Linked DNA regions of Diceros bicornis minor. The protein of the gene in region 1 binds, or shares a complex with, the protein of each later gene. Links are inferred from orthologs where the notes say so. Each region holds a gene or a part of one and is shown in the gene's direction. Other genes may lie near its edges. The genes, in order: STRIP1, STRN3, STK25 and STRN.

Evidence for each region.
Region 2: the proteins of STRIP1 (region 1) and STRN3 are in contact, whole or in part, in a cryo-EM structure (PDB 7K36), measured with the Homo sapiens proteins. The link is inferred for Diceros bicornis minor from reciprocal best matches to the Homo sapiens genes STRIP1 and STRN3. Residues at the interface, in NP_149079.2 of Homo sapiens: Arg441, Ile445, Tyr447, Leu449, Thr455, Val456, Val457, Gly458, Leu459, Arg491, Ser492, Pro493, Leu494, Ser495, Phe792, Leu793, Pro794, Val795, Asn797, Cys798, Leu799, Val802; in NP_001077362.1 of Homo sapiens: Thr64, Pro66, Gly67, Leu69, His70, Tyr71, Gln73, His74, Val88, Glu89, Ala91, Glu92, Ala95, Arg96, Phe99, Leu100, Glu103, Gly106, Gln107, Leu110, Asp113, Leu114.
Region 3: STRIP1 (region 1) and STK25 share a complex: the UniProt entries of both Homo sapiens proteins name them as parts of the core of STRIPAK complex. The link is inferred for Diceros bicornis minor from reciprocal best matches to the Homo sapiens genes STRIP1 and STK25.
Region 4: STRIP1 (region 1) and STRN share a complex: the UniProt entries of both Homo sapiens proteins name them as parts of the core of STRIPAK complex. The link is inferred for Diceros bicornis minor from reciprocal best matches to the Homo sapiens genes STRIP1 and STRN.

Annotation. Positions count from the first base shown.
Region 1 is NC_080743.1:43,079,658-43,087,571, forward strand, and holds the start of STRIP1 (striatin-interacting protein 1), read left to right. Parts: upstream 1-4,877; coding exon 4,878-5,057; intron 5,058-7,551; coding exon 7,552-7,621; intron 7,622-7,914. UniProt on the Homo sapiens protein: Plays a role in the regulation of cell morphology and cytoskeletal organization. Required in the cortical actin filament dynamics and cell shape. Part of the striatin-interacting phosphatase and kinase (STRIPAK) complexes.
Region 2 is NC_080744.1:17,618,042-17,625,414, forward strand, and holds the start of STRN3 (striatin-3), read left to right. Parts: upstream 1-4,352; 5' UTR 4,353-4,564; coding exon 4,565-4,846; intron 4,847-4,965; exon of another isoform or gene 4,966-5,239; intron 5,240-5,349; exon of another isoform or gene 5,350-5,629; intron 5,630-7,373. UniProt on the Homo sapiens protein: Calmodulin-binding scaffolding protein which is the center of the striatin-interacting phosphatase and kinase (STRIPAK) complexes.
Region 3 is NC_080776.1:28,317,288-28,325,153, reverse strand, and holds the start of STK25 (serine/threonine-protein kinase 25), read left to right. Parts: upstream 1-4,831; 5' UTR 4,832-4,917; exon of another isoform or gene 4,918-4,979; intron 4,980-5,608; 5' UTR 5,609-5,701; coding exon 5,702-5,731; intron 5,732-7,866. UniProt on the Homo sapiens protein: Oxidant stress-activated serine/threonine kinase that may play a role in the response to environmental stress.
Region 4 is NC_080751.1:47,156,296-47,164,057, forward strand, and holds the start of STRN (striatin), read left to right. Parts: upstream 1-4,738; 5' UTR 4,739-4,877; coding exon 4,878-5,111; intron 5,112-5,252; exon of another isoform or gene 5,253-5,986; intron 5,987-7,762. UniProt on the Homo sapiens protein: Calmodulin-binding scaffolding protein which is the center of the striatin-interacting phosphatase and kinase (STRIPAK) complexes.

The DNA of each region.
Region 1 (7,914 bases):
CTTCATCTGCAAAATAGGAGAAATACCAGTATCCATCCCATAGGGTTGTTGTGAGGATTAAACGAGTTTAAGTCCTTAGCATAGTGTCTGCCATACAGCAAGCACATATAAATATTTGCTCTTGTTATTATTACTATATAAAAAGAATATTCCAAGTTCCCCTCTCCCAAAAAATCAGCCAGAACAAGGGTCTTAAGGTAGCAGCAGACTTGGCATGCTAGAGAGAGAGAATGGAGGGTCATGAAGCTAAAGGAGGAGAGTGGTAGGAGATGAGGTGGGAGAAGAAGGCAGATCCCTGCTGGACCCATGTGGGTCTCATATGTTAGGGTAAAGAGTTAGGATTTAAATCTAAGTGAGGTGGGAAGCCATGGAAGATTGAGAGCAAGTGAGTGACATGAGTTGATATGTGGTTCTAAAACCTCACCCTGGCTGCAAGGAGAACTGGTTATAGGGTACCAGGAGAGGAAGTGGGGAAGACTAGAGTGGCAATGGTCATGAATAGGGAGCTCCAGAATATGTTTTGGTGAGAGAGTCACTGGTGAACTAGATGTGAGGGGTGAAGAAGAGAGGAATCAAGGATGTGTCCTAGGTTTTGCCTTGAGAAAAATGGGTAGTCGGTAATACCATTTATTTAGATCCTAAGGAAAAGCAGGAGAAGAGCAGATTTTGGCGCAAGAAAGGGAGAATACAGAGTTCTGTCTGTAGCATATTAAGTTTGAAACGCCCATTAGACTTCCACGTGAGATGTCAAATCAGCCACTGGATGTATATTTGGGTCCTCTTTTGACTAATCCAATCTATATGTAAGAAGGCTAGGAGGTTATAAAGTAATCCGACCTGGGACAGAGTTAAGCTGACTGATTCCTTTGGAAGATAGGATTAATGATATTTGCCCTATTAACCACCTACCTAAAATATTATTAATCTTTTCCTCTTCTCATAGTCATTAATGGAGAGAACTCCACATGGCACTACAACTAGAGGGGAAGATCTGCCCATAGATGCTCCAGGAGTCATAACTTTAATATTGAGCATTTCAGTGACTAGCAATATCTTGACCAGGGCTAAGATGGAAAATGCCAGAAACAGGCTCACTTTGTCTGCCAGCACGCACTCAGGTATGGATGGATGTGAAACATCTTGCCCAGTACCTGACATCCTATAAGAACACAGTATGTGCCAATTTCCTTCAACAGAGCCCGCTGGAACAACCACCCTGTTCTCGGTGGAGCCCTTGCAATGCTACAATGTCTCAAATATAACATTTCACTTCCAGTCTCTTGAACCATGACTGCTCATGGTGAAGGAAGGGCCTTCTCACCTTAGGCTTCACCTCTTGGTAATAATAATTCTCTTTTTTGAAAAAACAATGCTTTACAGTTTTCAAAATGATTTCACATAAATTAGCTCATTTGATCCATAGCCTCATAAGACAGGTGGGATTATCCTCATTTTACAGATGAGGAAAGAAGGAAAAGAACTGCATGAAGGCGTTTCTGCAACTTCTACCCTCTATGGGGCTGTGCTTTTCTGCAAGTTTCTTAGCAAATGGAGAAGAGTGAGTTCTCCAGCTGTGCTTCAGCTCCTTCACATTTGGAATCCTTTTTCCTACCAGAAGCCAAATGGAGTATAGTTCAAGGAGTTTTTGCCAGAGTAAAGGGAGGACTCTTTGGGACTCAAAAGTGATGCCAATTTAAGTAGCTCTCCTGGGCCGGCCCAGTGGCATAGCTGTTAAGTGCGCGTGCTCCACTGCTGGCGGCCTGGGTTCAGATCCCGGGCATGCACTGACGCACTGCTTGTCAGGCCATGCTGTGGCGGCGTCCCACATAAAGTGGAGGAATATGGGCACGGATGTCAGCTCAGGGCCAGTCTTCCTCAGCAAAAAGAGTAGGATTGGCAGATGTTAGCTCAGGGCTGATCTTCCTCACAAAAAAATAAATAAATAAAATAAGTAGCTCTCCTATTTAGAATTCTTGAGCTAGTCACAGCTTGGAGACACTGCATTTCATTCAGGAAAGGTTTCCACACAGGCTCAGACAGTTTTTATAAAAAGGGCTTGTTACCTCTCAATATTAAGTTTGAACAAGCCAGAACAACTGGAAGCAACCCACATGTCTGTTAACAGGTGACTGGATAAACAATGGGATGCTATTTATGAACTATTAATATCATGTAACAAGATGGATGAATTTCAAAATAACTGCGTTGAGTGAAAGAATTCAGACAAAAAAGAATACATATTGTATGATTCTGTTTATGTAAAATTGGAGAATATGCAAACTAATCTAAGTGTCAGAAAGCTTATCAGTGGTTAACTAGAAATGAGAGAGGGGCACAGTAATGAGTAGAAGGGAGGATTACCAAGGGGCACAGGCAACTTTTGGGGGTGATGGATATGTTCATTATTTTGATTGTGGTCATGATTTTATGGTGTTTACATATGTCAAAATACATCAAATTGTATACTTTGAACATGTGCAGTTTATTGAGTATAAATTATACCTTAATAAAAATAGCACATTGATTATAAAAATTCCAAGAACACAGAAAAGTATAAAGAAGGAAATGAAAATAACCTATGTTTCCAACATCCAGAAATAAAACCTACTAAGTTTCTGGTATATTTCCTTCCAGTCTCTTTTCTACACATAGACATAGACACACACACACACACACACACACACACAGAACCAATTGTACATTCAATTATATCATAAGCATTTTGCCATGTCACTAAAAATTCTTAATATTAAACACAAATATTAATGGCTTCTCTATATTCAATCTTATGCATACCCCATTATTTAGTTAGCCATTTTCTTATTGGCTATTTCTCAGATTAGGTTGGTCGCAACTTTACACTATTGAAAATACCACTGCCTGGAACATCATCATACATATATCTTTGTCTAAATCTTTGATTATTTTCTTAGGATTTATTACTACAAGTGGAATTGCTGAACCCAAACCTTTCTTGTTCTGAATGTAGCTGAAGCAGTGTACAGTGTTTAAAGGTCTAAATTTTTTTTTCCCAGATGATAGAGCTTATGGTAGGTCAGTCTTAGAACTTGTCCAAACTGTGGTCACTAAAACTAAACATCATTTGTGTGTTGGGTCGTGTGGGATTTGCTGATTTTATCTAAGAAGCCTCTCAGCACTGGTCCTTTTCCTGCAAATTCCTTAGTTTTTCCTATCAGCTTGGCCCAGCCTAGTTTGGATGAAATGCTAATTTACAAAGTGTATGACTAGATTTGAGAAGGAATAGAGGCAAAGAACAGGAAGCTAGGTAGGAGGAAGTAGCAACATGGTGGTTTTGGATTTATTCATTATTTTACAAAAAAAGACTTTTAAAGCACCTACTAGGTGGGACCTTGGTAGAAATCATGCAAAAGTTGCACCACAGCGACTTTCCTAGAATTGAGCTGGGAGTGTGGAGCAGCCAAGATGTAGTTCTGGAGAGACAAAGATAATAAAATGCCTTTAAGGATCTCACAGCACAGTAACGCGTAATTATTACACATCACCTCTAAGATGTCTAACGGGCATCTCAAATATGACATGTCCCAAACAGAAATCTTGATCTTCTCCCTCAACCTGTTTTTTTTCTCCCAGACTTCTTTATTTTAATAAGTAATACAACCACCCACCCACTTGCTCAAGCCAAAAATCTAGGACTCATCCTTTATTCCTCTCCATCCTGCTGATAGGATTCCAGCCTTTCAGCAAATCCTGTTGAATCTATTTACACAATATAAAAATATCATATCAACCCAAAACTCCACCCTGATGCAAGGCACTATTATTTCCATCTATATAGTCTCCTAACCCGATTACCCTCACCTACTCTTGCAACTCTCCAATCCCTTCTCCAAAAGCAGCCAGATTGGTCTTTTAAACATCAGACCATGACACCCTCCTGGTTAACATCCTCTCATTGTTTCCCATTTCACTTAGAATAAAATCCAAACTCCTTTCCATGACTTTTAAGGCCCTGCATTTATCTGGCTCATGCATTACCTGGCCCTCATCTCCTACTATTCTTCCCCTGGCTCACTCAGTTCTTAGCACACTAACCCAGAGCCTCTGCAGTTATCTGGTCCCTCTGCCCGTGTTGCCTCTGTGGATCTCTGCACCGCTCTCACTTCTTTCAGAACTCATTCAAAATCGCACTCTCAGGCCTGCCTTCCTGGGGCAGCCTAATATAGCCATCCCCCGCCCCCACCAGCGCTGCCACCTTCTAATCCCTTACACTTCTTTTTGTTTCTTCTCAGCACCTGTTTGTCTAACATTATATTTGCGTGCTCACTGTTTGTCTCTCCCACCAGGCAGTATGTTATGCACCATGAGGGCAGGAACTTGATTTATTCTCCCTTCTATCGCACTACCTGGAGCTAGAAGACATTCACTAAATGTTTTTTGAATGAACGATGAATAAATATTTGTCACAACTGTAATTGTTTTATTGATTTATTCATTTGCTTAGCATACCTCTCCAAGTAGATGTCAACTCGTGAAGACTGGGATGGTGTCCATTTTGTTCACTACTGTATCCCCTAAGCTTTCAACAGGGCTGTAACAGCGACAAGTGCAAAACGATGTTAAAGAAAGGAAAGGGAGACTAAACTGATTGAAGGAGCTAAGGGAGGCCGCACAAATAAAACAACTAAGCCGGTACTGAAAAAGCAGTGGAAACGAACTGGCCCGAGAAGAATAACGTTTCACGCAGAATCTCACGAGGTGTTGGGCAGTCAATATGGCTTCCGGCACTTGCCGCCACACTTAATATGGCGACCAGGGAGCGTTCCTGGAGGAAATCACGCGAGAGTTGTATCGCGGCTACTGTCCGCGAATTAAGCCGGGGGTGTGGAGCAGCCAAGATGGAGCCGGCAGCCGGCGGACCCGGCTCGCTGATCTTGAACAATAAGCAGCCCCAGCCGCCGCCACCTCCGCCGCCAGCAACCGCGCAGCCTCCACCCGGGGCACCGCGGGCCGCCGGGGGTCTGCTGCCTGGGGGCAAAGCCCGAGAGTTCAACCGCAACCAGCGCAAAGACTCGGAGGTCAGGAGCTTCGGGGGGGCGAGGCTAGCGGCGGGCGGCGGCGGCGGGTGGCCCGGGTCCGGGGCCGCTCTCTGATCCGAGGTGGGCTTCTCAGAGGGTTCGGTAGGGCCCGGCAGGGGACTTGTTATTTTACAGCGAGAGGAGCAGGAAGCACGGCTGGCATCCCCGGGGCCGGGGGCGCGAGGCCGGGGTCCCCGCCCCGAGCTCCGCCGCCCGGGAGAACCTCCGGAGCCGGTGACTGCTCCTCTGGGGCTGGGGCTGTGGGCGCGGCCTCGGGGCCCCAGCCCCTGGGGAAGCCGCCCCGCTCCCAGTTCGGGGGTGAAGAGTCAGTGGTCTGCGTGCGCTGCAGGGGGCCGGGCGGCTGCACCCCGACTTCTAATCGCCTCTGGTCCTGTGGGTTCCGCAGCGCGGGGGACGGCGTGTGTGGGCAGGGAAGGGCCTGGCCACGCTTTGGCAGGCACTGCGAAGCCGGACGGAGCTCATTATCACTAATAGTACTACGCGCCCGGAGACTGCTAGGGTAGGAGGGAGGGAACCTTCCCTGTTCACTCAGACCTTAGCCACGGCGGGTTCGGGCCATGGTTTGACAGTGCCTGGTGGTTGGTGTGCCCAGCGCGCCCGATGCTGAACTCCGATCAGAAATATACATTTTAAACGTACATTAGAACTCAGCATTCCCTCCTCTCTTGCTAGTGGGCTGTTCCTCCCGGTCCGGAGACACCATAGTTTGGAGCTGACTAGTCACCTCACCCCGAGTTAAAGAATTACTCCCACTGCCTCCCATTGTAGAATTCATGAATGAAGACACACGTCGCAGCGTTTTAGGGCTTCTTAATCAGCACGTTCCTAAAGCGCTTACTGTGAGGCTCCTTCACCTGAGACAACTCAGAGGTTGATCAGCAGTCAGGCGCTGAAGAATGAGAGGGAATTCCTCGTTGTCCAGGCATAACGTTATGTCCAGGTCATACTAAAGCGTGATAGTACTCTCTTTAGACTTGTGAAATCAGTTCCTCTCAAGCTTTTGTTTTTTGTTGGCAAGTGCAAACCTCTGGTAAAACGTGTCAAAATTTGGCAAGTCCAAAGTAGACATACTTTGAGCTTGAAGTGAATTATTTGAAAAAGCAGTGAAACTGACCTTGTAGGAGCCCGTGCCTGGTGGGGTGATGGGACATCAATGGAGACTACTTAATAATTTTTCAAGTGTAGAGGATTATGAAAGTGGTGGGGGTGAACCCACCTTCATTATGAGAGGAGTTATAGTTTAAAAATAGTTTTAAATTTTCCTAAGTAGCCATGAATGGTCAAATAAACACCCTTTGATACATTTAAATTTCTCTTTCTATCCTTTAATTTCCATATAGACTGAAAATGTAGAAGGTCGGTCAGTAAACACATTTAAGCTGAGACACCTGTCTAAATTCGTTTTCTTAGAGATGCTGATGTTGCCCTGGGCTCTTTCTGGAGTCATAGCTGAAATCAGTAGGCTGGGAGCCTGAGCAATGCCTGGAGGACAGGGAGACTGACACTTGATGAGAGCCCACTGTGCGCTACATAATTTTGAGTAGTCCTTAAAAACCTTCAAGATGGATTTTTGTCATCCCTGTTCCATAAATGAAGAAATAAGTTCAGTAACCTGTGAAAGTATACATTCTGTTGCCTCTGAATAAGGAGTTGAATTCTTCATGTCATTCAGTGTTTGTGGGCATGTTAGGGCATTTTGTGGGTGGTCTTTGTCTTCCCAAGTAGATTGTGATTAAACCTGAGGACTTCTTCACTTCTTCTCTCTTCACAGAACAAGCCTTCCAAGATGGCATATTCTCAGTGATCACCTATCCCCAGCAGTAAAAAGATTCTTTTTGTCATATTCTCTCCTGTGTCTGGGAGGGGAGCCATTCTGTTTGGCTGCTGCCTACTCTGTCTGTCACTTCTCCCTGAAGTTTGAGAAAAAGGCAGGAAGGCTGAGAGTGTCGATGCTCATTTTTGTCTTGAGCTTTTGGTAGCCCACTAGCAAGAAAGAAATGAGGCTTCCGGAATCTTAGCACCATGTAGAATGGTCATTCACTATACAAAATGCATGGAAGCTTTGTGTTCATTCATCCAACAAGTATTTTTTTGAGTATAAACTATTCATTCACTCATTCATGCCAAGTAGTGTGCTGGGCATCGTGAAATCATTGATGAGAAAAATGGACAAAGTTCCCACTCTCAAGGAACTTGCAGTCTCTTGGAGAGGCAGACACTAAACAAGTATACATGCCAGTATATAATTATAAGTTATGATAAGTGCTCTAAAGGAAAAGTGCAAGGTGCTCCGAGAGGGCTTAATAGGGAGACCTGAGTTCGCCCATGAGACAAAATACTGCGAAAAAATATCAGAAGAGTGGAGGTGATGGTGTCGTGTAACACAGCAGTGTATCTGGAAGCATATGTGTTTCCTCCTTTGGAAAACACTCACAATGACTTTTTGTGTCACTCTCTCTCTTTTTTTCAACAGGGCTATTCTGAGTCACCAGACCTCGAGTTTGAATATGCTGACACTGATAAGTGGGCTGCAGAGCTCTCAGGTAAAGCATAGACCTTCATATTATTTGGCTGGGTTTTGTTTTTTCTATTTGTTTTTTTGTTTGTTTGTTTTTGGTGAGGAAGATTAGCCCTGAGCTAACATCTGTGCCTGTCTTCCTCTATTTTCTTTGTGGGCTGCTGCCGCAGCATGGCTTGATGAGTGGTGTAGGTCTGCACCAGGATCCAAGCCTGCGAACCCGGGCCACCCAACTGGAGCGTGCCAAACTTAACCACTACGCCACCGGGCTGGCCCCTATTTGGGGATGTTTTTTTCCTTATTGGTCTTTAATAAGAT
Region 2 (7,373 bases), on another chromosome or scaffold:
CTTTATTTCCTGTTTCTAAGCACACATATACACTCACTGATGTGAGAGCGGGACCACTTCCTATTCTTCTGAAGGCTTGTGGAAGTGACACAGAACTCTTATCTCAGCTTTCTCCCCTCCGCATGGGGATAAGAATACTTGTCACAACCTTTTCAGACGGTGCAAAAAGATGACTAGATTAGTGTTTGTGAGCCAGACTGAGCTCTTTGTTAGAACAGTCAGCAAGTATCAAACTGGATGTTCTGGTGAGTAATTACAGGGAGCCATACAGGGTCAAAACTCGCTGTATATCAGGTATTACAATAATTGGGAAGAAGGTGTCTCAGTGATAACTACTCTCGACTTATTTAAAAGCCTGGAATGCCTTAACATACCTTTGCTGACATAATATATGCACATGCAATATGACAAGTCCCTTTTTGGTCAGATAGAATAAGCACACAGGTGTCTAAGATTAGCTTATGGGAAAGAAAAAAACACACCCTAAAATCCTAAACGGATTAAAGATATAAATAGGCTTTCTCGAAGATCATGAGTAGTATACTGAAACTGAGAGAATCAGTGGGAGTAGAGGAGGGATGAACAGACTGATGAAAGGAGAGAACAAATAGGGAATTTCAAAGGTGAGACGGAAGAGAGGAAATGACTCAGCCACAGTTTGGGGAGGGAGTTCCAGTTAGGTGAGTTGTAGGTGAGTATAGGGCCTGGGAGAGCTCAGTATCTACAGGGGACAAGGTTCTAGGAGCTCACTGCAGACTGTCCTCAGGAGTCACAGACACAAAGTCAGAAGTGTAATAAATATTCTCCCAACACAGGAGAAAATCTTGGTGTCTTTTACTTTTAATACTCCGGGCAGTTCTGGTCACTGAACCTTAAGAGATAACTGGTAAATGGTAGCAGCAAAAACTAATAAAAAATGATTGTGGTGAAGGAAAAATACTCATATTAGTGTAGTCTAAATCTAAGTTATTCATCAAACATTCACTGGGGATCACACTGTCCCAGACACTGGGGGGACAGCTGCGAACAAGAGGGGCATGGGTCTTGCCCCTCTAGGAGGCAATCTTGCAGATAAAGGACTATGATCTAGGAAGACCATGGCCAAAGATTGCATTATTGACACTTATAAAACCATAGTGAAAGTGAATGTAGACACATTCAATCGGAATTCTTCAAATAGGGAGCACATGTGAAATTTTAAAAGAGGCAGTTTTAAGACAGAGCTGAACAAGATATTGAAGAAGCCAGGGTGGTTGGTGCTAGGTAGTTTGCCTAAAAACTAGACTGTCACGTCTGTGAGAGCAGATTATGTCTGTTTGGTTCACAGTGGATCACCAGGACTAGTAGAGTATCTGAAAAATAGTAGCCAATCAGGAAATAAAATAAATAAGTGAAGCAAAGATTTGCAGTACCTGTTATGTGTAGGTGTTGCTTTCATAGTGTTTAGTATGAGCATCACTGACCACTCATAGATACATAGATAAATTCAAAGTAATAAGTATTAGGAGATAAGCATGGGATACTACCAGGATAGGGTCTCTAAATAATTCAGGAATCTGGAAAGCTTCCTGGAGGAAGTAACACTTGAGCTGAGTTTTGAAGGAAGAAAGGAAGGAAGGAGAGGTAATGGGGCACAACATGTGTTAAATTCCCGTGGAATGAAATATCATTATGCATTTAGGAGCCAAAAACAGCACAGTTCAGGCGGAGCGAATGCAGTGCCATGATGGTGTGATGGTAGGTTAAACAACAGAGAGGATCTAGAATTTGTAGGATTTTTATTTTATTATTTTTTTTGTGATGAAGATCAGCCCTGAGCTAACATCCGATGCCAATCCTACTCTTTTTGCTGAGGGAGATTGGCCCTGGGCTAACATCCGTGCCCATCTTCCTCCACTTTATATGGGACGCCGCCACAGCATGGCTTGACAAGCGGTGCGTCAGGGCGCGCTGGGAATCCAAACCTGCAGATTCCCAGGGAACGCTCGGGCCTCCTGAAAAGGATCGCGCGCACTTAACCACTACACCACCAGGCCAGCCTCTGAAGGAACTTTACATGCTATGCTAAAATTGGGGCTTTATTCTAAATCTGGTGATCCCTAAAATATTTTAAGCAGGGAATGACAGGATCAGATCTGCCTTTTGAAGATCACTCAAGCATCAGTGGTAGTGGGAGGTCGGGGAAGAGTAGACTTGGGAACGTTTTAGCTAAGACGTTATTGAAGATAATGAAAGATGTTACTGAGAAAAGGATTGGATGTGGGGGCTGAGTGAAAGAAAGGTACCAGCATGACTGCCAGGCCACAGGTTTGGATGTAGTGCCACTTAATAAGACAGGTAATAGGGGGGCCGCCCCGTGGCTTAGCGGTTAAGTGCGCGTGCTCCTCTACTGGCGGCCCGGGTTCGGATCCCGGGCGCCCACCGACGCACCGCTTCTCCGGCAATGCTGAGGCCGTGTCCCACATACAGCAACTAGAAGGATGTGCAGCTATGACATACAACTATCTACTGGGGCTTTGGGGGGAAAATAAATAAATAAATAAAACTAAAAAAAAACATAAGACAGGTAATAGAAGAGGAGCAGAGTTTTTTGTTTTTTGAAAGTCAGTGGGGAGGAAAAAAGAAGGATTATGAATCCAGTCTTTTCTTGACCTTGAGGTACCAGTGGGAAATATTAAGTGTGCATGTTCCTCTTCTCTTGATGCCAACATCATTGAGGTCAACCACACCCTTTCACAAATGTGTGCTGTATGGGCTTCAGGCAGCAGGGTATTTCTGAACTTTTTATGTGCTGTGAGGCCCCTCAAAAAAGAACAAGACTGAATAAGCAGGTTGTATGTCGGTCGCTATAAAATGCAAAAACAGTACTTTAAGAATGTGGAGAAATAGTTCTTAATATTGTGACCTAAGACCTTGCCTCATACATAAATAAAACATGGCAGCATGAATAAGTCCAATGTGCTCTGCCTTGAACTATAACAACAGTAAAGCAGACATGATAAATTAAGACGTACTACTTTATCTCTTTGAAATTACACCCTGAGTGGTCCTTACATTCCATAGTGAAAATTTTATTGGTAGTAAAGAAGAAAAAAAATTTAAAAGTGCAATTTTATATGCAATTTTCCTGCATAGCTGTAATTACTAAACCTAAAAATTATGTTTTTAAATATTTTTGTCCTAGTTTTCAACCAAATGGTTATTAGCTACATTAACTTTCATAAACTTACTAGTTCATTAAGGATGTTTCCTGGCAACCTAAGCACATAAAAACACACTACAGCACTTAAAAGATTAATCTTGTCTTTTGTGTGTGTATTATATTCACTCAAGCAACATTTAATGACCCAGGAAAACACCTTTAGCCATTCATCTACGATTTTAAGTTATATTCACGATGCTTTTATATTTTATTTCCATCAAAAGATTCTGCTACGAATGACAATACTTGTGAGCTAATTCACTTCTAAAACATCAAACTATTAGTCTAACCAGTCTCCTCCAAAGTATCTGTCTCCCTCTACCCACCACCGTCAAGATCTAAAGTTTTTCATTAACTCCCCTTCTCCCAATAAAAAAGACGAAAACAGGCGCTCTTGCTCCCCTCCCTAACCCCCCAAACAGAATCCATCCTAGAATAAGAAAGAAGAGGTGAGGCAGAGAAGAACCAGTTGCGACGGGCGACCGAGAAGCACAGAAGTGGGACCAAAGCCGGGACTCGGAACGTAGACGGGGAATCAGTCCCCAGGTCCGGTGGGATCCGGGCTATTTGCCAAAAGAGAACGTCCCCAAGGCCCCGGGAACTGACTGGTGCTAAGAAACCAGAGGGAGAGTGAGTGACAAGCAGAGAAAGAGCCCCGACCCTCTGGGACTGCCTGAAACACGCAAGGAATGCAAAAGAAACGTCAGGAATCCGGGACCGGCTGAGGGCACCGGAGCGACCAGCCAGGTTAAAACCCAGCTCAGGAAGCAGGCACGTCGGTGACACCCCTGGCTGGGGAACGGCGCCCGGGGCCTGACTGCGCGAGGGAAACCACTGGGAAGCCAGACACCTACTCGCTTCCCAAGGTCGGAGTCGGAGGCCCACTGCCCCGGAGCGGCCGCTAGACACCCGGAGCGAGCCTGAGGGCGGGCCTAGGGGCGGGGCCGGGGAGCCTTCCCCGCCTCTAACGGCAACCCCGACTGCGTCGTCAGTGCGCCTGCGTAGGGTGAGGCCGGACTCTATTTGGCTACTAGTCGTGCGGCGGCGTTCTCTACCCGGCATGCTGCGCGGGAGCGACGGCCCTACGTCTCTCCCCTTCCCAACCCTGCCCCCTCTGCCCCTCCCGCCGCCGCCCCCCCTTCCCCTAAAGTGAGTGAGTGAGACGGGCAGATGGAGGAGGGACTGTAATGGCGGCGGCCGGCAGCTCCCTGCTCTGACCCACGGCAGGCATACAGCAACAACGTCCTCCCCGCCCCTCTCCCAGCCGGCCTCCGCCCCGCCACCAGCGCGGGGCCACCCTCCCCGGCCCTTCCCCCAGCCGTCGGCGTCTCGCCCTGCGCCCCGGCCGGGGCCCCACACACAATGGACGAGCTCGCCGGAGGCGGTGGTGGCGGCCCGGGGATGGCGGCCCCTCCACGGCCACAGCAGGGACCTGGGGGGAACGTGAGCCTTTCGCCAGGGGGGAATGGAGCGGCGAGCGGCGGGGGTCCTCCGGCCGCCGAGGGAGCGGGGCCCGCGGCAGGCCCGGAGCTGTCCCGGCCGCAGCAATACACTATCCCAGGGATCCTGCACTACATCCAGCACGAGTGGGCTCGCTTCGAGATGGAGCGGGCGCACTGGGAGGTGGAGCGGGCCGAACTGCAGGTACCTCGCTGGGGTCGGTGTGCGGGACGGCTGCGGCGGCGGGGTGCCCGGCCGGGGGGTGGGGCCGGGACTCCCCTCTGTCGGAGCCCCGCGGCCTGGGGACGACGAGAGGAACCTACCTGTGCGGCTCGGGGGCGTTGTTCCTGGCCACGGCTCTTCCTAGACTCCCCCTCCCCCTTTTCCGCAGAAGCTTGTTCCCCAACCCTCCCTAGCTGCGCGGTGCGGGCTTCCTTGGGGCAGCCATTTTGGCTTTGAGTATGGCGTCTGCGGGGGCTCCTCTGGAGGCGGCCTGCCCGGGTCTCCGGGGCTTGGGGCCGAGCTCCTCTCTGTGGGAGAGTCCGGCATGGGGCTGCTAGGCACTGAGCTTGCTCTTGCCTATGCCTCTGAAGATGGAGAGCCCGAGGAGAGGGACTGGGATGGGCATTTTACCACATTTTGCCGGATCACCCCCCTTTCCGATTTGGCATGTCTGGCCCCCTCCCCCGGAGTTGGTACGCACTTACCCCTTGACAGCCACGCTTCCTTCCAGGGCTGCTACCAAGCACAATGGCTTGCGGCTGACCTGTGAAGTTTTCATTTCCTGCTGCCAACTTGAAGGACATTCTTACCTGGGATGCTGCCTTATTTGCTCAGATTCCCTTTGAGTTCTTCCCTACTCTAGTGACTGACTCATCCAGGCTTCTCTATACTGAATTTTTCTTTTTAGAGTGCCCTTTACCAGGCCTCCCCCTCCTCTCTCCCCTTCTTTGCCCGTAAAAAGCCAAACCAGACTATCTGTCCTGTCTTTGTGAAACGAGTGAGACAAGATTTAATATTAGCTTGAAGTAAAACGTACTTGACACGCCTTACTAACTCAGGGAGCGGAAGCAAAGTTAGATATCCTCAGGACCCTGCATAATTGAGCCTGCCTCGGTCCTCTTAAGGTGAAACTTTGATAGGCTGGTTTTCCTAGCTTTTGGAAGGTGTTGGTAGTTTAAACAGGGCTCATGTCTTGGATTTCAGAATGGCTACATCTTTTTAAAAGGATTGTTTAACTTTTTTGGGTATTGTGTTTATCTTTAAATCCCTTTCCAAGGCAAATTTAGGCTTAGAAGAAAAAAGCATGCATCTAAATAGTGTTGCACCTGTTCTTCAGTCTGGTGTATATTTAGAATGTAAGCAGTATTCTGCGCTGACATATATGTCTTATATGCCTGCGGTGGATAGTTAGGGAAATGTAGTGTTGAAAGAAAGAAGATTGGATTAACTTTGAAAGAGTGTCCTCAAATATATATATCTCTTCACTTTGATTTTGAACTAGTAAACTTTTATTTGATTCTGCAAAGTGGGTAAAGTTAAACTTTTACAAAGTGAGAATACTGAGATATTTTGATACTTTATCAAGTCTTGAAAAATTAAGTATAAATTAACATGTTAGTCTATTCAATACTTTAGAATTATGTTTTGATATACTATTGGGTTTTTAAAAATATAACTTTCACCAGTCCCTGATATAGTGTTTTTGACCTTTGTACTGTTGTATGAAAGCTTAGGTTTTAACACTTCTGAAGTTAGCACTTGCATTAGTCGTTCATAAGCTTCGCTAATGTAAGTAGCTGAGAAAATGTTTTACTTGTGTCTAAATTAGTAAAATCTATTCATGAATGAGGTCTGTATTGTCTGCCCTAGCCCTAGCTTTCCTTTCTAGTTCTCCTTTCCTTGACAGTAACAGAAAAGTCTTTTAAAGAAGATTCCTTTTGCTTACTTGCTTTCAGTTGATCTGTTGGCATATTAGTTCTGATATAGCCATTCTAAGCTTTTTTTGTTTGATTATTTTGAAGTAGTTCTCCTGTTTCTACATTCTTAATTTTTTCCAGGGATTTTCATTATTTCATACTGATTCTTTTGGAATAAAATGTTCATGATTGTGTTTGTGTGTTTTTGTTTTTATATATTTCTCTGAAATGTTTTACTGGGTTAGTAGAGTTTCAAGTTTGCTTCTGGAATATTGAATTTGCTTTAAGTGCATTCATTCTTCAGTAAGATTGCTTGTGACATGTAGATTTAAAAATGTATGTGTTGAATAAAAATTTATTGGGAGGGTTTAAGTGAAGCATCAGTGAATTTTAACTGTAAATTTAAACTTATTTTTAAGAAAGATAACAGAAATAAGACAGCTTACATATCATTGTTGTCTTCAGCTTTGGTTATACTGTTCATCTACACATATATTTAAAGTGTATTTAAATATATTTAATATTCAAGATAAAACTTCAATAATGAATACAAAGAGCCTGAGGTATATCTAATTTTGATGTAAAATTTTAATATGGAATCATATTTTCCCTGGCTTTGGAAATGATTTTAAATTGGAACTTTGCATTATGGTTTTATTCTCTGTAAAAAGAATTTGGGGTAAAAGTCTGTCTTAGAAACTTGAAACTTAACCCAAGGATTATGTCTTAAAGCTGTTTTGTCTTTGTGACTCGGGTAAAGCTGTGTTAGTGAGGCTCTGTGACAGTGATTCCTAAGTGAGAGTGCTAGTCAG
Region 3 (7,866 bases), on another chromosome or scaffold:
AGCCAAGAAGAAAGTTCTTCCAGAAAACAACCCTGCTGGCCTGGGACTTGAATTTGGTCATGCTGCCAACATGACCTCACTGATGGAGAGTTGTGGAGCAGCACAACATTGCGCAGGTTTTCCACTGTACTGACGCACTCTGTAAGCAACCTCAAGGGCATAGCTATAACAGAAAAATGTAGTAAAATAATTAGGAGGTGATGAGTATTTTTTACCTATTTTTTTTGGTGAGGAAGATTAGCCCTGAGCTAACATCCATGCCCATCTTCCTCTATTTAATATATGGGATAGATATAATAATATGTATATAATTACTTTTTGATAATGGTTGTGTTTAACAACCAGCTCACAAAATTCCTGAAAATTTAAGGACAGGCTCTTGGGAGCTTCTCAGTATTTCTCAGTTACCCTTAGAGTCTGAATCCCACAACCTTGGGATGCAGACAACAGCAGCCTCCCCACTTCCATAACCGTTCTCCTAACTCCTGAGGCTGCTTTTCAGCTCCTTCCTGGCCTCTCTCTGCCATGTTGTCTCTGAATTGTCTAGGATGGGGATCCCAGGTGCTGTCACAGGGGTCTGCACGGGATCCCCTGGGCCCAGGCGTCTTGCCTCTTCCTGTTGGTGCCCCGGCAGCTTTCCCAAGTGAATGAAAGCAAACGTGGGCTACTTTTCTGGTCTTCTCTGGATCCCTGAGTGGAGGCCTGGCTCCGGGCTCTCTCACCAGCTCACCTGCAGCTGTCTTGGAGAGAGACTACAGAGCCTGTGAAACCCACATAGGCCTCCCCTGGCCCAGGCATCCCCCAGCACAGGCGGTAAGCTCTCCAGTTTGGGATCAGCCTCCGCACTGTGGCCACCTCCTAGGCAGAGAAAGAGAGGGCCCTGAGGTCCACGGTCCTCCATGGGTGAAGCGTGGCCAGGTCTCAGACATCTAAAGTCCAGGCTGAGAGAGTTGACTGGCCACAGGCACCTCGAGACCACTCTCTGGAGGGGGAAGCGACGGTGACTCAGGATACAGCCCGGGCTGCACTGGGCGCAGCAGTACCAGATGCTGGGGGAGCAGCAGCCCCAGCCTGCCACCAGCTCACCTGGATTGTGGCCTGTGGTCCCCTGTCTGGGAGACACCAACTTGGGCCCCTTGGGGCCGCATCCCTTGGCTCCCACCGCCTTTCCCTGGGCCCTGCCCTGTGGTCCCCCTTGCAGGCCAATCTGGGGAGTATCCACCCAGTTCCTCCTGGCCCTACCCAGGGAGCAAATCCGGAGGTTGAAGTTCCATCTCCTGCCCGGAGCCCCAACTTCACAAGCTTGTTTATCATTTGGGTTTTTCAGCCTTGTCTCTGCAGTGTGCTTCCCTCCCTGTCCTCCTCTGGGACACTGACCTCCACCATGCAAAGGTTGTACTCCAGGCCACTGCTGCCTGCTTCCAGACCCGGAGCGCAACAATCCCAGGACTCGTCCAGGCCACGCTTTGAGTTTCTGATCTATTTCTGAAACACAGAGGTTCTTATCTTATTTTTGAGTTCAGCCACGTCTCCTCTCTCTGTCTTTCTGTGCCTGTTTCTCTGTCTCTCTCCCCCAGGCATTCAGAAATACTCTAGTGGGGGCACCATCCTGGATCAGCTTCCTGAGGATTGAAGATGCTCAGGGAGGCCCTGCGGTTAACACGGAGGCTGACGTCAGGGAGTAGGGGACCCTGACAGGCAGCAAGACAGTGAGGCAGCCCGGGGTTATGTGCAGGGATGGCCGTGGGCTCCCCTGGACCAAACAAAGGGGCAGCCACTAAGGTGCCGATTGGCATGGCAATGGGCTGAGAAAATGCAGGTCTGGGGCCGGCCCCTTGCCCAATTCCTAGCCCTGTGTAGCTTCATGGATCTGGGTCCCTGGAGAGAAGAGAAGACTGGGCACCCAGAAAGAATGTGGCAGCAGCCCCACAACGAGGCTTGGCCTTCCCCAGCCTGGCCTCCCTAGATAGACACTGGTCAGGATGGTCTGCTTTTCTGGCCCAGCGCCCTCAGCACCACCTTGGTGGCCTCACAGGATCCCTGAGCCTCAGTTGGGGTTTCCCTTGAGGACAGAAGAACTCACAATGAGTGAAGTGAGGCAGTAAGCTGACCCTGCGAGCACCCCACCTTCCCAGAAGCAGCAGCCAGTGTGCAGCCGTGTGGAACAGCGGGATGGCCTTTGGGAGGCTGGGTCCCACCACCCCAGCTGTAGTCACACCCTGAGGTTTGGCAGAGAATAAAGGGCTCGTCCATGAGGCCGTTTGTCCTCAGCAAGTGCACAGGCCCAGGGCCATCCCTGACGCTGTGGCTCTTCTGACGTAGAGGCTACGTATTCAGGGAGGGCTGCTTCCATCGGGCTCTACAGTGGAGCTGACCCCCCAGGTCATCCCGCAGCCTCCCCTGGCTTTGAGGCAGCCTTGCCTACTCCATCTTCAAATCGTTCTCTTCTCTCAGTTTCCGCTGGTGATGCCAACCCATCCCGGGGCCAAGGTGGACCAGTGGTCCCTGGGGGGCTGCGCCCTCCTCTAATCCCTCCTCCAGCCCCACTTCTGCACATCCTCAGGGAAGCATCAATGGGGCGTGGGGCGGGACTTTCCTCGGGGTGGGGGCGTGCAGGAGAGGGGGCTGGGTGCCTGTTGGGGTGTCCTCAGACACACCAGGTTCCAGGACTTTCCAGGAGGACATACTGCTGTCCTCCCATTTAGGGGTGTGTGTGCAGTCTGATAAAGATGACCTAGGCCTCGAGTTTGACTGGGAAGTCATAGGAGAGAGGGCCCGAGGAACAACTGAAATGGCATGGTGAGGGGGGTGCAATCAGGAAAGTGCCGTCTGGGGCCCTGCAGGGGACAGTGGCTAGGCTTCTTCAGCACCTACATGGCAGGGGGAAAAAAGGGACAAGCAAACCAATCATAACATATGGACCTTACTGGGATCTTGATTTGAACAAACTGTGTGCAGTCGGATATATGAAATCATATCCATATGTACACACACACACACATATGAAATTTGCACACGGACTCCATATTTGATATGAAGGAATTATAATTAATTTTTATATTTTTATTTTTGAAAAACATACAATAAAATTGCCTTTTTTAGCGTACAGTTCTATGAATTTTAATGCATGTATAGATTTGTGTGATCCCCCCCACAATCAGGATACAGAGCAGTCCCATCACCCCTCAAAGGCTTGCTCCTGCTGCTCCTCTGTAGGGACAGGCTGCTCCCCCAACCTCTGGAAAGCACTGATCAGTTCCCCTTGGCTGATATTTTGTTGTTTTGACAACATCGCCTAAGTGGAATCATATACTATGTAACCTTTTGAGACTGGCTTCTTCCTCTGACATGACATCTGTAGGGTTCACCCAAGATGTCACATGTATCAGTAGTTCCCTCTTTTTGACTGCTCAGCAGTATTTCAGCATATGGATGGACCACAGTTTATCCACTCACCCGCTAAAAGGCCTCTGGGGTGTTTCCACTTGGGGCTATGTGAATAGGTATGCTGTAGACATTTATGTACAGGTTTTTTGTGTGAAGATAAGTTTTCATTTCTCTAGAATAAATACCTAGGAGTGGGAATGCTGGGACACATGTTAGGTGTAGAGTGGACTTTTTTTTTCCTGAGGAATATTGGCCTTGAGCTAACATCCATTGACAATCTTCCTCTTTTTGCTTGAGGATGATTGGCCCTGAGCTAATATCTGTGCCAATCTTCCTCTATTTTGTATGTGGGTTGCCACCACAGCATGGCTGATGAGTGGTCAAGTCCATGCCTAGAATCTGAACCTGCAAACCTGGGCCACCAAAGAGGAGCGTGCTGAACTTAACCACTACGCCACGGGGCCGGCCCCCTCATTTTAACCATTTTTAAATGTACAATTCAGTGGCATTAAATACATTCACATTGTTGTGCCACCATCACCACCATCCATCTCCATAACTCTTTTCATCTTGTAAAACTGAAACTCTGTCCCCATTAAACACTAACTCCCCAATCCCTCTCCTCCAGCCCCCGGCACCCACCACTCTACTTTCCCTCTCTACGACTTTGACGACTCTAGGGACCTCATACAAGTGGAATCATACAATATTTGTCCTTCCGTGTCTGGCTTATTTCACTGAGCATAATGTCCTCCAGGTTCATCCACGTTGTAGTCTGTGTCAGAATTTCCTTCCTTCTTCGGGGAAGAATAATATTCCACTGCACGTATGGACCACATTTTCTTTCTGCATTCGACCCTCGACTGACATTTGGCTTGCTGCAGGGGCAGCTCCCAGGGACAGGACGGTGGCAGCGGGGACAAGACGGTGGGCCGATGCCCGCCAAGATGGAAGGGAGGAGGAAATGCAGGCCAGGGGAGTGGGGATGGAGAAGGACATGAAGGGACTGGAAGGGAGTACAGAGCGGGGACAGCAGGAGAGGGACGGTGGGGAGGGGAGATGAGGCGGGGACGGCAGGCCGCCGGAGAAAGCGGCAATAGCGGACCAAGGCGGAAGACGGAGAGCAGAGAAGGAGGAGCGGAGGACGGCCTCTACCCAACCGCTGCCCGGCTCCGCCCCCTGCCCTGCCTGGCCCCTCCCCTGCCCTGCCCCACCCCGCGGCCTGCCGGGAGACGTAGTCCGCAGTCGCTCAGGAAGCCCGACTCGGAGTCCCAGCGAGCCCCGCGGCGCGCGTGCGCGCCGCGGCACCGCCCGCCCCGTGGCCTGCCGGGATTTGTAGTCCAGCGCCGGCGGGCACCCGGGCGCGGGGCGGGCGGGGGGACTCGGTGTCCCAGAGAGCCCCGCGCTGGGCCACGACGCCGCGCGCCGCCCTCGCCGTCGCCGCCGCCGGGCTTTCTCCGCCGCCGCTGCCGCTGCCGCTGCTTCGCGGGTTGGAGGGCCCAGGCGTACCCCGGCGAGCGGAGGCTGCTGGTGGGAGCCTTCGCGGGCACTGCAGAGCGGGCCGGGGGAGGCCGGGATGGAGCCCCCCGGAGGTGGGCGCGCTGCCGGACGGGCCCGCGCCTGGGGCGGTTGCGGAGGGGTCCGAGCGGTGGGGGGAATGGGGCGGGGTAGGGCTCTGGGGGCGGGGCTTGGCGGGGGGGGTGGGCGCTGGGGGGGGTCGGCGCTGGGGGCGCGGCTTGGCTTGGGGGAGGGTGCTGGAGGTGGAGTGAGAGCAATGGGGGCGGGGGAAAGGCTCGGGGTGGGGCTTGGCGGGGGAGTGGGTGCTGGAGGCGGGGTCCGGCGGTGGGGGGGGTGTCACGGGGGGGTGGGGCTTGGCGCTGGGGCGGGGCTTACTGGGGAGGGCGCTAGGGGCGGGGCTTGGCTGGGGGGAGGGCGCCGGGGGCGGGACCTGGCGGGAGGAGGGCGCTGGGGGCCTGGCTCAGCGGTGGGGGATGGCCTAGGGGAGGGGCGAGGGCGCTGGGGGCGGACGGGGTGGGGGGGGGTGAGGAAGCCGGCCTGGAGGAAGGTTGGAGGCTGGGGGCAGGGGTGGGAGGGGCTTCCAGGGGGTGCCCCGGGTTGGTGAGCCCTTCGGGGGTTGGGCCGGCAGGGCTGGGCGGGCGGCCTTTGGGGGTCTTGTTGGGAGGGGGCGAACAGGGCACCCAGGGGCCTGCTCTCCTTCTAGTTGACTGAAGCGAGCAAGCCGGGTTCCAGAGCCTCAAGACGGGATCTTGGGGCCTCCTGGGGTTGCAGCGGATGGTCTGAGGGCAGCGCAGACATGGCTCACCTCAGGGGATTCGCCAACCAGGTGAGGGTTGGTTTCTGCCTTGTAAGCGTGTGTTCGTGCTTGAGCCCCCCAAGGGGAGTGCAGACTGCAGAGTCCAAGAGAGGTGTGGATCACGAGAGACGTCTTATTTCACCCAGAAGTATCTTTTGAAAATCATCCTGGGGGTTTGGGAGAGCGGTCTATTAAGGGGATGTGGGCTGAAGGGAGGAGTGTTCTTGGGGAACCCTGTGATGCCCGTCATGGGCAAAGTGGGGACCATTCCTGAGGTGCTCAGGCTTGGTGGGGAGCAGGGCTGACTCAGGGTGGCCCATGGGGTGTGCTGTGGGGCAGAAGCCCACAGGCCTTTGAGACTAGAGCCACAGTGCAAGATCCAGGAGGGTGTGCAGAGACCTATCTTGGGCGCAGGGCTGGGTGGCTTGGGTGGGAATCCTGCAGGAACCTGGATCTGCGCATCTGGAGGGACGTCAAAGAGCAGGGTCCACGCTGGAGACCCCCACCTGACGGACAATCCAGAGGGGCTGGGATTGTCGTTAAGTGGCTGTGGTGTAAGAGTCGGCATGTAGGGAAAGCAGAGGACGCGAGTGCGAGTGTTTCCACTGGGGGAGGTGGAGAAGGCTGCTCTGCAGAACCTGTGTAAGCCAGGCGAGAAGTGCTTCCCTGGAAGAGGCCAACCGTCTCTCTTCTTTGGGCGATTAGTTCTCGTAGTTCCCAACACCGAGCCGCCTGGAGGTGTCTGGCCTTGCATGTTCACTGGCTGACTCCCTGGGAGCCCTCCACAGAGTTTGCCTGGAACGAGGACCTGCTGCTGGTGCCTGGTGCTGGGAAAGGAGGGTCGGTGGCAGCCGGCGGGGGTGTGGTAGTCTGCGTCTCTCCGCCTTTTTGTTTTTTCAAAGCCAGTGTGACCTGAAGCTGACTGCGCTAGAATACACCACTGCGGTGGCCAGGTGTTCCTGCATCCTGGCTGTTTGGTTTTGTTCGGTTTGGGCACGATTTGGGCTGACTGCTGCCAGGTGTGGGAATCTCCCCTTAAAGGGAGTGTAGCCCTCTGGCTTGCTCCTGTGTGCTGAATCAGTGAGGACTGGGCATGCGAGGAACAGGAAGCGTGTGTGTCCTCTTGGGGGCCAGAGGGGCTGGAGTCAGAGCTCAGCTCCAGACCCAGCCGGGCTCTGTGGAGAAACCTGGAACGCCACGCGCAGCTGTTGGGCATGGCATCCGGGACCAGCTGTGGCCACAGATGGGAGCGAGGGCTTGCTGACTGACGCTGAATTAAGCTAACAGATTTTTCATTCATTTTTGACATTTTGTGTCTGGTAAATTACATGACTAAGATGCTGTGCAAAAACTTTGTCTCCAGCTTATTTTTAAGAGCTGTAGGAATAGCTCCCCTGGGACCCAGTATGAGGAACTGGAGCCTTGAGCTGCCTCTGTCCCCTGTGTGCCACTGGTGCGTGGCGCTTAGCCTGGGCGTCTGGATGAGACCTGGGAGGGAGTGCGGGTGTGGAGGAGCTGGGGAAGGGACCCTAAAGGAAGGAAGCCCCCTTTGTCCTTTCAGGGGCGGAGAGACTCAGCCTTTGTCGGTGGCAGGAAGCTTGACAGGATGTCGTTTTCTCTTGAGGGTTGTCACTGTGGCCCTGTGGGGCAGCAGGACGTGCTCCCCCGTGGCCTGTGCTCCTGCCCTAGATGGCTGTCCTACACCTAGCTAGTTCCTGCCCCGCCTACAGGGCCTGAGTGGCTGCGGGGTCCCCCGTGTCGTGCTCGCTTGGCTGCAGCCCGTTTTGTGGTGGCTGGGGATGGCTTGGCTCCCTTCATTTTGTGGGGTGACACTAACGCCAGACACAATCCCAGGTGGTGGCCCTGGACCTGGCAGCCCCAGGGCTGATTTGACGCCATTGACAATAGCATCATTTGAACTGATGCCAGAGCCAGTCCAGGGGCCTGAGTGATTGTCTAGACCATGTGCGTCATCTAGAAGGGCAGCCTGAGGCCCCCAGACTTGGAAGCTACTTGCATTTCCTTCACCTGGTGGGGCTGGGAGCGGGTTGTCCCTGTGATGTGCTTGGAGGGTCAGGATCACAGCTAGGAGTGTTCCTGTCATGCTGTCTGCTCAGGTGACTGACCTGCAGTGGTGTGAACCCAAAGAGTGTGAAAGTTGGGGG
Region 4 (7,762 bases), on another chromosome or scaffold:
GTTGATCACCATCAATATTCCAAGAGAAGTCTTGCTACGACTTCAGAGCGATGTTATCATTTGTCTCCCCCTGTATTAGATATTTAGATTTGTTAAAGCAATCTTGATTTCAGATTTTAAGTATTTATTTCTCTAAATATCAGTCACTACAAAATTAAAATTAATTTTAATTTCAAAATTAAATTTTATCTAAATAGTTAAATTTATTCAAATAAATTAAATAAAGTGAAATTTAAATTAAAATTAGGCAACTCTCTAATTTCAACCACACTCTTCCAAAAGAAAATAATAGTAATAATAATAATAAATAATAGAGGCTATTTTCCCATCTTATCACAAGACTGTGATATAGATTTAATTCTTGGACTCCCAGAAAAAATTTAGATATTAGAATTCCTCCACTTCCCAACTTGTGATTGGCTGTTTCCCCAACCCAGTCATTACCAGACTTCAAAACTAGGGAGTAAGTTTGGAGGCTGAGGAAAGGTAGAAGCAGAGTAGGCAGAAGGGACAGGTGACAGAAATTAGGGAGTGGGCACATGGTAGAAGGGGTTGATAAATAGTGGTTTATTGAATATTCCTTTTCCCCAAAGTTCTGTTCACCCTAGCAGAGGCCTCTCTCCAGTCCAGCAGTCCACTCCTTTTCTTCTGGCCAGAATTCTGAAAGAGCCATCAAGTTCAACTTGGAAGCTTTTCTTTGAGCAGTTAAAGAGTCAGAGACCCAAATAACTTGTCATTTAAGGGCCGGCCCTGTGGCTTAGCAGTTAAGTGTGTGCGCTCCACTACTGGCAGCCCAGGTTCGGATCCCAGGCACGCACCAACGCACCGCTTCTCCAGCCATGCTGAGGCCACGTCCCACATACAGCAACTAGAAGGATGTGCAGCTATGACATATAACTATCTACTGGGGCTTTGGGGAAAAAAATAAATAAATAAAATTATCAAATAACTTGTCATTTTGAACAGTTTTTAAAAAATAGCACTCATTTTTTTTTTTTTTTTGTGAGGAGATCAGCCCTGTGCTAACATCTGCCAATCCTCCTCTTTTTTTTTTTTTTGGTTGCTAAGGAAGACTGGCCCTGGGCTAACATCTGTGCCCATCTTCCTCCACTGTATATGGGACGCCGCCACAGCATGGCTTGCCAAGCAGTGCGTCGGTGCGCACCCGGGATCCGAACCGGCAAACCCCCTGCCGCTGCAGTGGAGCACGCGCACTTAACTGCTTGCGCCACCTGGCTGGCCCCAATAGCACTCATTTTTTTTTTTTTTTTTTTGTGAGGAGATCAGCCCTGAGCTAACATCCGCCAATCCTCCTCTTTTTTTGCTGAGGAAGACGGCCCTGGGCTAACATCGGTGCCTATCTTCCTCCACTTTATATGGGACGCCGCCACAGCATGGCTTACCAAGCAGTACTTCGGTGCGCGCCTGGGATCCGAACCAGCGAACCCTGGGCCGCCGCAGCGGAGCGCGCGCACCCAACCGCTTGCGGCACCGGGCCGGCCCCAGCACTCATTTTAATGAGAAAAAAAAAGAGCAGATGAATTGTCACTGTGTAGAACTATAATCCCTACCTCACAAAGCATACACATATAAACCAAAAAATAGCAAACACTTCAATTATCTAAATAACCTTCTAGCATTTCACAATTTTTCACTTTAAACTGGTTATGCTGATATATAAATCAACATTTCGACAGCTGCTTTCTGTGCTTGGAAAAGAAACCCTATTTTTTTGTGTCACAGGCTTTATTAATTATAAAATGAAACAATCAGGAAATCAGCAACACCTTGAGGGCTGAGGCATACGTAATAGGTGTAGGCATTAATTTTTTTTTAAAGATTATTTTAACTCTGCTGGATTAAAGTTCTGAATAGGGGATGAGAAAGGAAAAAGAACAGTTTTTGAGCCCCTAGTATTCATGATTTTTACAAGTGTTATTTCAGTTAGTCTTGTGAACTCTAGCACAATAACAGCTATCATTATTCACTTTATACTATATATCAGGCACTGTGTTAGGGGATTTACATTTCTTCTCTCATTTAATCTTCACAGTAACTTTATAAGGTAAATGTTATTCTCATGTTAAAAATGAGAGAGTTGTGGCTGAAAAAGTTAAACCATTTGTCTAAGATTTCCAGACTTGAAAAATTGTAGTGTGAGGAATAAAATTTAGCTTTCACTAATTGCCATATCCTTTCTAGTTATTGTTTTTTTTTCAAATTCAAAAACATTTTTGCTGTAGTGACTGAGAATGCACATCAAGTGGGGGCTTCTGGGATGCCTGCAATGTTCTGTTTCATGATCTGGCTGGTGGTGATGTGGAAGGGTTCAGTTTGTGAAAGTTCATTGAGTTGTTCATTTACCACTTGTGAGCTTTTCTGTATATATGTTACATGTGATAAAGTGTTTACTTAAAAAAAAGTAATTCATGCTGAATACAGAAAATGAAAAATATAGACAAGCACAAAGGGGAAAAAAAAATCACTGGTAAGCTCACTACTCAAAAACTAACAGTTTCAGAAGCTGATTCAGTATAGGAGGAAATGATGGGATTCATGGTCCTCGTTCTCTTAAAGAAATTTAGGGCAAAAGAACTCCAAGGGAAAGTCTTCTTTCAAAAGTAATGTTTTTTTGTTAAATTACAAAAGAATTAGTACCACATATGGAAATTTTTAGAAAAAGAGAAAAGTAAATTTCTTCAGAATTCCACCTTAATATAATCATTCTTAATATTTTGGTATATTGAGTGACGGTGTCATGACATTATAGATCATAAATAGTTTTGTGTATAAACAAGTCCTTGAAAAGCAAAAAGATATTGAGTAAGAAAGTCGAACTATGCACTAAAGCACAGTTGTATGTGGGATAGTCCAAGTTATCTATAAATTTGTTTTATAGTCTGTTATGAATTGATTTAAAGGCCTTTTCAGACCTGTCTTCTAACTATTAGAGAAAAAAATAGCTCTTAACATTCAACATTGTGAGATTACTTAAATCCCTCAGATGAAAAAACATGCCCTTGTTCATTATTGTCCCCTTGTTACTTGATAGGTCTAAGTAAGAGAGGAGGCAATGTGTTAACGGAAAGATCAATGAACTGGCAGTCAGGAATTCTGGTTTCTAATCTTGGCTGTGCCACTCCTCAAAGCCTCATTGTGGACAAGTTTCAACTTCTTTGGACTTTAGTTTCTTGAGCTGTAGAATGACAGGATTGGGCAGTATCTCAAAGGACAATTACAGCCAAAACAATTTATGACACAGGGAATTTGGCCAGGCCTGGATCAACCTTTTATTATAATAAAGAATGAACTCATAAAGCAGAAACATTCAGTAACTGGGAGAAGAGAGCCTGCCATCTTTATTTGCAACCAGAGCAGGTACAACGTGTTTCCTGTCTTTTCCACATGTAGCCATGGGAAGAGAGGAGGGTAGAGCACAGGGACAGGATGTCCTTCCTTTACATATCACTCACCAGACTGTATCTTTAATTTTTTTCATAACCATCAGGTCTGATACCCCACAAAACAAAAGAATTACAAAAAACTTATTCGGGTGATAAATTAAGTACTTAAAATCATTTTCATTTGTTAAATTTTTTCAGGCACCTTCCTTTCATTATGGTAGTCTGAAGTTATAATGACGTAATTTCAGGGATTTCGGAGACGGATAACATTTACCGAGAAACGCTTGAAAGGACTTTGGTGTGCCTTTGTAGGCTAATATTGTTGCCAGTTTGCAGGTGAACCGTGGAAGAAACTGGGAACGGGACAAGTGAAAATGAGAAGCGCCTGCATACCTAAGACAGTTCTAGGGAGCAGAAAGGGGACTTTGTTCTTTTAGGTAGTGTAGCTTTAAGGCACTGTGAGAATTGATTATATGCTTGCCAATCTCCCTTTGATGACAGGAACTGTGTCCTTTATCTTTATATCCCCAGCGACAGATATAACCGACAATCAAATATTTGTTTAATTGAATTGAGTAAAAACTGCACGGAAAAAGGAGACTGAAATAACAGAGCCTTGGGTATCTGAAAATTTACAGGATTTACTGCAAGATTAACTGCAAAGGGAAAGCGACTTGAGCGGAGCACTGTTTCAGATGAGGTGTGAACAAACCAGAATTTGGAAGAAGCTGAACGCTGCCAGTCTAGGAGAGAGGTCATCAGAGTTCTTTATCAGTGAAAACTGATCAGGCAACAGGTTTGAACCCCCGAGTGAAAAAGAAAGGCAGGAGCGATAGCGATACTCGGGTTGGCAGAACTGGGGAATGTCTTGGATCAGAGAAACACCGAAGTCGGAGCCGAAGAGGGAGGGCTGAGATCGGCTGGAGACCCCAGTGCAGGGGCCGGACCGGAGAAGCTCGCTTTGAGCTTGTTTCTTAACAGAACTACCAGGAAACCCTAAAAGATGTGCAGCTCGGGCCGGTATTTTGGCGTGATAACTTCCGTATGTGAGTGTGCGGCAGGGAGCACCGCCCGATGACTTCCGCGTGCGAGAGAGACTGGAGCACCGCCCCCCCGCGCCTAGCCCGACCGCGAGGAAACCCGCGCTGCCCGCGGGGCCGCCCTCCGCCGTCGCCGGCCGGGGCGGGGCCGCGGCCGCGCCCGAGCCGTACGCATCCCCACAGGCCGCCTCCGCCGCGGACGCCCGCCCCACGCCCCGGGACTACATTTCCCAGCAAGCCCCAGGCCGCTCGCGCGCCGCAGTTGACCCATTTCCCGGCCCGTCCCGGGCTCAGCCGGCCCCCGCGCCCAGGCTGCTCCCTGCTGACTGGGGTGTGGGCGGGGAGCGGCGGAGGGAGGAGGAGGCGCTGCTGGCCGCCGCCGTTGCCTCTGCTGCTGGCTGCCTGGGCAGCTCCCCGGGTCTCTGCGGCCGCCATGGACGAGCAGGCGGGTCCCGGCGTCTTCTTCAGCAACAACCACCCGGGCGCCGGCGGTGCCAAGGGTCTCGGGCCTCTGGCGGAGGCTGCCGCTGCGGGCGACGGGGCGGCTGCGGCGGGGGCGGCCCGAGCCCAGTACAGCCTGCCAGGGATCCTGCACTTCCTGCAGCACGAGTGGGCCCGCTTCGAGGTGGAGAGAGCCCAGTGGGAGGTGGAGCGGGCGGAGCTGCAGGTAAAGACCCTCCCGGCCAGGCCCTCTTCATCCCGCCTCTTCGCTCCCTTCCGCCCCGCCCCGGACCCTTCCCCTCCCCCCTCAGCCCTCGCTGGTTCTCTCCCGGTTTGCTCCCGCCTATCCCACCAGAACCTCGTCCCCTTCCCCCCTTCACCTTTGGCTTTCGCTGACCCCACTTCCTTGACCCGGGTTCCCACTCCCGCCCCTGATGCGTTGTTTATCCTCCCTGCTCCTTTGCGTCTACACCTTCCCACTCTTAACTCAGTCTCATTTCAGCTCTTGCCATCGCACGTTTTAGGTCTTCCCTGTCAGTTTACTAATTGGGCTGACAGTAGTTTTGAGAGATGCCGAGCAGATCATACACTGCCGTAGTGAGGCTCATGCTAGGTCTAGAGACGTTCCCCGCAAAAGGTATTGGCAGTTGTCTCCTCTGTCTGAAAGGAAGGTGATCAAAGAAGACAACAGAAGTTGTGTTCGTGAGGCCTTGACTTTAGGCAAGAAGCTGATGTTGGGTGAAAGTGTTACTAGGACTATCAGCTCCCCTTTTACATATGCAAATATTTCTTCTCTTCCCTCTCCCTCACCCCCTCCGCGTTTCTTTTAGGTATTTCAGATTCGTGGATTTTGAATGAAGAGCTTAGATGATCACAGTCAGGTGATGGTTTCCTGTTCTCAGAATCTAAAACTTCTCAAGTGTTAATTCTACGTTGTGTTTTGTGAGATTGACTTGTACTTTAAAAGGCACTAAACAGGGCTTTAAAGTTGGTTACATTTCCTTGCATAATCTGCAAGATAAAGTATATCCAGGGAGGAGCTATTGTGGGCTCTTAGAAGAATGAAAGTGAGGCTGACACTTTACAGGCCGTTCTGAATTGGTAAGTAGGTTTCAGTGGCTGTTCTTAAAACTTCCAAGGCAGACGCCAATTTCACAGGGAACTTAAAGGACTATGAGTGGCTGTGCTTTTCTGTTTTACTGGCTAATCCTGTATGCTTATGAAATCTGAGTAAAGTTTTGGTTGGTGAAACACTTGAAGTTAAAATGCTAGCCAATGTATCCCTTTTTTTGGTAACATGTATTTTCTTGGGCACTTTAAAAAAAAAAAGGAAAGGAGAAATCTGTTAAATAGAATCATGTGCTGGAACAGGCTGCTTTGGTGTAGTGGAAGGGGCTGTGGAAAGAGCAAGCAGGCAGGGTGCTGGCTGTGCTTGCTGCTAGCTCTGTGACCTTGAGGAAGTCCTTTAACCTCTCTTAACTTCAGTTTCATCATTTATTTATTCAGCACATTTATTGAGTGCTAGCTGTGTGCTTCTAGGCACTGGGATTAACAAAGCCGACAAAGCCTCTGCCCTCATGGAGTTTATGTTTTAGTCAGCGAATGCACCTATGTAATATACTGACCCATAGTGGCAACTGCTATGAGAAAAATAAATCAGGGTACAGAAATAGAGGGTGATAGGGGCAGATATTTTAGATGAGGTGGTTAGGGAAGACCTCTGGGAGGGGTTGAATGAAGCCCGGTGAGTGACCCATTGTTTCTAAGATTCCTTCTGGTTCTTTATTCTACAGTTAGTTGTATGTTTATATTTTTTGGCAGCTTTTTCATCCCTACTATTATGTTCCTTTAGTATTTAGTCTATTGATCTTTGTAATTTTTCTCGTAATGAATCTGACCATGTCTGTATAGTAACCAGCAGACTTAAATGCTTCATTTAAATTTATTGGTAATTCACCTTTTTAGCAATGCATTCCATAAAAGAGCTTGTGGATTTCCAGATTTCAAGGAAGCCTTAAAGGCAGGCTTTAACTTGAACGTTGTACAGTTGCAGAGAATGATTTTTGTATGTAGCTGCTTAAGTTTTAATTTCTTTTCCAGTTTAGGGGATGTAAGCTGTCACACTAATTTGGTCAAAAACAAACAAGAAAACAGTTCTTACCTTCCTACTTGTGGAAGTTTGGGAATTTCCAGCCCGTCTCACCCCTCCCCACCCCACCATGTTTAAACTTTTCAATTTACCTGTAACTAATCACTCTTCAGTTTTTTATTCAGTTTGTTAAGCAACACAGTCACGTGTTGCTTAACGATAGGGACACGTGCTGAGAAATGCACCATTAGGTGATTCAGTCTTTGTGTGAACGTCATAGTCTGCACTTACACAAACCTAGGTGGTATAGCCTACTACACATCTAGGCTGTATGGTACTAATCTTATGGGACCTCCATCGTATATGTGGTTCATTGTTGACAGAAATGTTATGGGGCGTTTGTGTGCATATATGTGCGCACACGCCCGCGCGCACACACACACACTACTTTTTCGGTTACTTATGGCAAATGTTAAACTTCAGGTAGGTTTCCAATTGGTGCTCATCATATTAAGGGCACTACATTTTTACAGTCTTTTGGTTTGTGCTCAAATTAAATTGTCGCAGAGAAACTTAAAAAATGTGTCATATTTTCCAAACAGAACAAGTATTATATTATGTATTATTGGGGGAGAGAGTTTCCACGAAATCTGTAGTCTTTGATTCCCTTAGTAGCATAATTGAAAATATATTTTTTAAATCATTTCTTTATAGCAACATCCTTAAATTTTAACATCCCTTCATTTTTCTTTTGCCGTTGGGATTTTTCTTGAAAACGATAAGAAGTA